Linked DNA regions of Ovis aries. The protein of the gene in region 2 purifies or fractionates together with the protein of the main gene of each other region. This does not show direct contact. Links are inferred from orthologs where the notes say so. Each region holds a gene or a part of one and is shown on either strand. Other genes may lie near its edges.

Evidence for each region.
Region 1: the proteins of NLRP3 (region 2) and TRIM31 purify together in Homo sapiens (affinity purification with western blotting; 3 studies listed by BioGRID). This does not show direct contact. The link is inferred for Ovis aries from reciprocal best matches to the Homo sapiens genes NLRP3 and TRIM31.

What each region holds. Positions count from the first base shown.
Region 1 is NC_056073.1:27,906,270-27,909,297, reverse strand, and holds the end of TRIM31 (E3 ubiquitin-protein ligase TRIM31), read right to left. Parts: intron 1,979-3,028; coding exon 1,452-1,978; 3' UTR 501-1,451; downstream 1-500.
Region 2 is NC_056058.1:38,456,985-38,459,982, forward strand, and holds the end of NLRP3 (NACHT, LRR and PYD domains-containing protein 3), read left to right. Parts: intron 1-1,746; coding exon 1,747-1,846; 3' UTR 1,847-2,498; downstream 2,499-2,998. UniProt on the Homo sapiens protein: Sensor component of the NLRP3 inflammasome, which mediates inflammasome activation in response to defects in membrane integrity, leading to secretion of inflammatory cytokines IL1B and IL18 and pyroptosis.

The DNA.
Region 1 (3,028 bases), on a different chromosome or scaffold from region 2:
AGTGTTTCTTTGTGAAGGAAGCTAAGGAATGCATTTTATTATTTTTTTAAGGAAAACACATCGTGAGTTTATCACATTTTGATTTTCCAATTCAAATTTGGGATCACTATGTTTTTATTTCTCTTCTTTTACGTCATAATCATAAGAGAAAACTAATCTTTCAGGTGGAAAATCTTGGTTCCTGGTAATGTTAACATAATTGCTTATTTTCTTTATCTTATTATATTTGGGTATATATGTACACATACATAATACATGGGCTACCCAGGTGGCTCAGCAGTAAAGAATCTGCCTGCTAATGCAGGAGACACAGGTTGGATCCCTGGATCAGGAATATCTCCTGGAGAAGGAAATGGCAACCCACTCCAGTATTCTTGCCTGGAAAATCCCATGGACAGAGAAGCCATAGAGTCACAAAAGAGTCAGATATGACTTAGGGACTAAACAACATAATACATAATAAATTCAGAATAACAACAAAAATATTATTACCAAGATGATAACTGAAGATTTTAAGTTTTATTTTCAATTCTTTTTGTCATTAGACTATATTCCACAAAGGAGATACAGCTAAATTACTGTGTTTTAAAGTCACCTAAACTAACTCCTAAGAACGGAGAATTTAAGCTACCAACTACTTACACAGTTAGGTTTCTCTTGTTTTAATTTAATTTTGTTTTATAATGATGTAAAACATTTATATAATTCCAAAGCCTAATTTCCATGTCTTCCACTTGGTTTCCCCTCCTCCCAAAGGTGAGTGTTTTTGTTAGGTTTTGGCTTATCCTTCCACTTTAAAAATAAATATAAGCAAAAATAAAAAGGTATATTTACATTTCCCCTTTTCTTAGGTAAAGTGTAGCATGCTGTGTGCACTATTCTCCATCTTGGTTTTTTTTCACTTAATATATCCTGGAGGTCGTCCTAAAATAATAGACAGACAGTCCTCACTTGCAAAAGGTCTAGACCTGACTGAGTCGTCTGGGGAGACAACAATCAGCGATCCGGCGTCATGTTTTCCAGGTCCCTCGAAAGGATGAGGTCCAGACGGGCCAAGCCTGCACACACTCTCAAGGACATCGAGGAGAAAAGCCACAGCCTCAAATCAGTGTGTGGTCTCCTGGAATCTGTGTCTCAACCAACATTCTCATTGCAGAATCACCTATTGATTCATAATGCGACAGTAAATAGTCTTGTCTATTTGAAGCTTCCTTTTCAACCTAGGTATACTGGGGAGAAAAGGGGACTGAAAGTAACAAGGTAAATGTAAAGGGCGGGGTGGGGGCCGTGGGGGGAATGTCAGAGATATCAGGCCTCGATCAAGAAGCCAAAGAGTGTAACTTTCCTAAAGGGTTCCTGGAAGTCTGGCTTCAACCCTACTGCACACATCCCACACATCCCAAAGCGAGGGGGTACCGGGGAGGAGACGCAGAGGAAAGCAAAGAACAACTCTAGGGACTCAGGGTGATCTGGGTCCCGGGAAACAGGAGCCGGAAAAAGGGGAAGATCTGCCCTGGAAACGAGGCGTGGAAGGTGTAGAGGTGCTTGCTCGTGGTGGCGTCGTAGAACACGACCTTGCCGCACTCGTGATTCACGCAGACGCCCACTTTCCTGGGACAGACCGAGAGATCCTCGCGGGTGCCCGCCTCCGTAAGCGCCTGGCACTGGGAGCCCGCCATGCGCAGCGCCCAAAAGCCGCTCAAGGGCTCTATCTGCAGCATGCCCTTCCTGGGTACTAGCTCCGAGGCCACGCCCACCACGCAGCCCCCGCCCCCGGGCCCTTGGAGCTCTGCCTCCCAGGTCTGGCAGCCGGAGCTGAGGCCTGGCAAGCCCAGAACACAGCGGAACGGATAGAAGCGCTCGGGGTCGGTGTGCTCAGCGCAGACTCTCTGAAGATCCGGGTTCAGCGTCACTGTCTTCAGATCCTGGGAAATGATGAGATCTGGGTGAGCCGAAGCCGCATCCAGGGTCAGTGGGTCTGCGGGAAGATGAGGAGAAAGAAGGGCAACCCCAGGTCAAGCCATCCGGGCCCCCTTTAGGATGGCCTTCTCTAGAAGTCAAGGTCACTTTTGCCCCCAGAGAAGTCCTAGCCCCCCGCCCCCTCCTTGACGTTAATCCCTAAATTTCACCATATACAGCTCTGAGGGTGGTCTCCCTCAGAGAGAGTGGTGGGGAGGTGTCATCTCAACACTCAGAACTGAGACTGTCTCCTCTTCCTTCCCCGTTTCCTGTGTTCCTCATATCTAGAACAAGATTTGAGGCTTGTATAAGAGATGTCGAGGTTCAGATTGTCTGAGCTTGAGTAGTTTTTTGAAGTACAACCCCTCAAAAACGGTTCAGTGGAGGGGTGGAGTGCAGAAGGAGGAACTGTCAGCCCCCTTCTCACCCCCTTCTCACACTTTGAGGCGGGGCGGGGCGGTGGGCGCTCAGCATGCAATATCTTAGTTCCCCCACCAGGGTTGGAACCCACCACCTCTGAAGTGGAAGCATGGAGTCTTAACCACTGGGGAAGTCTGCCCCGCACATGCTTTTAATTAGATTTGGGTATTAAGTTATAGTTTGTCAAAGGTAGAAGGCCCCATCCTCCCTCTACAATGGCTTAAGAAGCTGTGGTTCCAGTCCTTGCCAAAGACTTAGGAATCTTCCTTTTACTTGTGTGTGTGTGTGTGTGTGTGTGTGTGTGTGTGTGAGTGTGAGTCACTCAGTCGTGTCCGACTCTTTGCAGCCCTACACACTGTAGCCCGACAGGCTCCTCTGTCCATGGGGTTCTTCAGGCAAGAATACTGGAGTAGCTTGCCGGTCCTTTCTCCAGGGGATCTTCCCGACCCAGGGATCGAACCCTGGTCTCCTGCGTTGCAGGCAGATTCTTTACCATTTGAGCTACAGGGAAGTCCTCCTCTTACTCTAATATGACTTAATGTTTCCTTACTGGATGGGGTGTTTAGGAGAGATGGAGGATGTGGGAATGTGGGGAAGAGGAAAAAGAGTGGTCAGAATCATGAGGATGAGTTAGGTGGATTGGGGCCCA
Region 2 (2,998 bases):
CAAGCCATTGTCACCTCTTGTCTGGACTGTCCTGGTGGCATTCTACTAGGCTATTCTGTATCTACCACTGCAGATGGAGGGTATAGCTAAAACGTGAGTCAGAGCATATCACTCCTACTAACATGCTTGTTTCACAAAGCAAAAGCCACAAACTCATGGCAGTGTCTAAGGCCCTGCATAATCCTGCTATTTCTGTAGTCATCTTCTAACCCTAGTTCCTTCTCCATTCACACTGTTCTCTTTGCTGTTTCAAAAATCTCTGTCACCTCTGACACTATACTCTTGCTGTTCCCTCTGCCTGGGACTTCTTACACTTTGATGTCCACATGTCTTATTCCTGTGAATCCTTAAATTATTTGCTCAAAGGTCTTTTCTGTGAGTCTGACTATAACCATCCTACTGAAAATAGCAACCCAGCAATGCCTTTCCTCTTCTCTGCTTATTTCCCTCCACTGTGTTGAGCAACATCATATATCATTTTCTTGTTTACTTATTATCTATATCTTTAGGACACTCTGGAGATGAGGGACAAGCTCAACACAGACTGGGGAATCCATGGATGTAGTCAAACTGCCTTGTGAACTCAGGCTGCCATAACAGAATAGAATAGTCTATATGCCTTAAACAAATCATAGTCATTCATTTCTCATAGTTCTGGAGGGTGGAACATCCAAGATCATGGTGCTGGCTGATTTGGTTTCTGGTGAGAGCTTTCTTCTGGGCTTGTTGTATTCTCATGCGGTACACAGAGAGAAAGACAGACCGAGACAGAGACACAGAGAGAGAGAGTACGTGTTATGGTGTCTTTTCTTATAAGGGCACTAATCCCATCGTGAGGACTCATCCCCATGAACTCATGTAACCCTCATTACATCCTGAAGGCTCCATTTCCAAATACCATCACATTGAGGGTTAAGGCTTTAACGCATGAATTTTGAAGGAACATAAACTATCCATAACACACCCAAATCAAGATTGCTTGAAATGATACAAGACAAATAGCATAATACAATTTAAGTTGTAAGGGAGATTAAAAAAAACAAAGAGAGATGGAAGAAGAACTCATATCATTGATAGGTGTACCAAGCAATTATAATATGTAGATTTTTTTTGGCAGAGTGGAGGGGTGGGCTGTGGCTTGTGGGAACTTGTTTCTCTGACAAGGAATTGAACCTAGACCACAGGAGTGAATGCACTAAATCTTAACCACTGGACCATCAGGGAATTCTCAATGTGTGGGCTTTATATGGCTCCTGATTAAATTAATATAATATAAAATTTTTATCAGACCATTGAGGAAATTGAAACACTGATTTCACATATATTGATATGTGAAAGTTATTTTTAACCATTTTGGGTGTGATAATTGCATTGTAATTCTCTCTTAAAAGTTGTTTAATTTCACACATTGATATATTTATAGACGCTTGAACTGCTGTGCTTACAATAATCCACTGATGTGAGGAGTCGGGTGGGTAATAGATGAAACAAGACTGGCTATGAGTTGTTAACTGTCAAAGTTAGATGGCAGGATTAATTATACTATTCTCTTTATATTTGCATGTTTAAACATTTCCAAACTTGAAGGTTAAAAATGTAACAGAAACCACATTAGGCACGATGTGCAGCACTGGAAAGCTTAGAAGTGTGAGGTTAAGAGAGGAGACGAGATTTTTAAAGGAAAAATGAACTCTGAAAGTGTTCATTTGAAGAGTGTAATCCAAGGCTCTCTTTTTGGTTTTATAGGCTGTGTGAAATGTATTTCAACTATGATACAAAACGTGCCCTAGAAACACTTCAAGAAGAAAAGCCTGAATTAACCATTGTCTTTGAACCTTCTCGGTAGTGGCGGAAACACTCTGTCATTCGGGTGTAGACAAGTGGTAGTGAGCATTCCTCCTTCAGCATTAAGATCATCCCTGCAATTCTTCTGGTCCAGTGAGGAAGAGTGAAAACTTGCTGATGGTCCTTCTGCCTGGTGAATGGGAGACTCTCCTTTACCCCTAGGTTGAAGACACAGTGCAGTAAAATCATCAAATGATACAGTTCTGATCGCAGTGGCTCAGTCAGAGGATGTGCTCCTCTTGGTGACCTCATGTATCTAACTCATTCAGGAAAACACTTTTTCTTTCTTTTTCTCTTTTTACTCTAACTCTCCTTTCTTTTGTACCTCTCCCCACTTTTTTTCTTTGACTATATCATCTTTCCTGCCATCTTTCTCTTAACTGACCATAACAGAATGAGTTAACTATATATTATGCTGCAATTTTGTGGCAGCAACTTATTTATTTTTATTTTTTGAACTGTTATATATTCTAATAAAATAATTGATGTTTATTATATTGTAGCTGGTTGGAAATTTTGAAAATAGAAAAAACTTTATTTATTGAGTTAAATTGTTTCCTTTCCTTGGTTTTAAGAGAGGGTGCCTAGAAAGCCTTTTACTTATTTATCTAAACCACTAAAGATAAATTAAATTGCTTCATGTATTTAAAAAATCTCTTTGCCAAATGATTCAATTGTAATGAATGAGGAAAAACAATCCCTCTAACTCTGATGGTTGAAATTTCAGTTCTGGTAAGACAGGAGGTTGAAAATCATGCAAAGGAAAATTTTAGGGTAGATGGAGCCTATATTCATAAATAGAAGTATTACGTAGAAAATGCATTTTGCCTTCAGTTTTAAGAATTTGTCTTGGATTTATCTCATCACAAGAGCATTTCATCTATCACACTTCACATAGCATTAACTCATTAATATGTATTGATTAATTACTTTTCCACACATGGAGAAACTCTCAAACCACATGGAATTGTTCAAGATAGGAATACTACTTCCTTTTTTCAAGTGAGTCATCTAGACCTTGCTTGTCAAAGTGTAGCCTATGGATTTCCGAAAACAGTGAAATTTAGTCAGTCAATCATGTCCAACTCTGCAACCCCGTGGAGTATAGACCTCCAGGCTCCTTTGTCCATGGAATTCTCCAGGCAACAATACT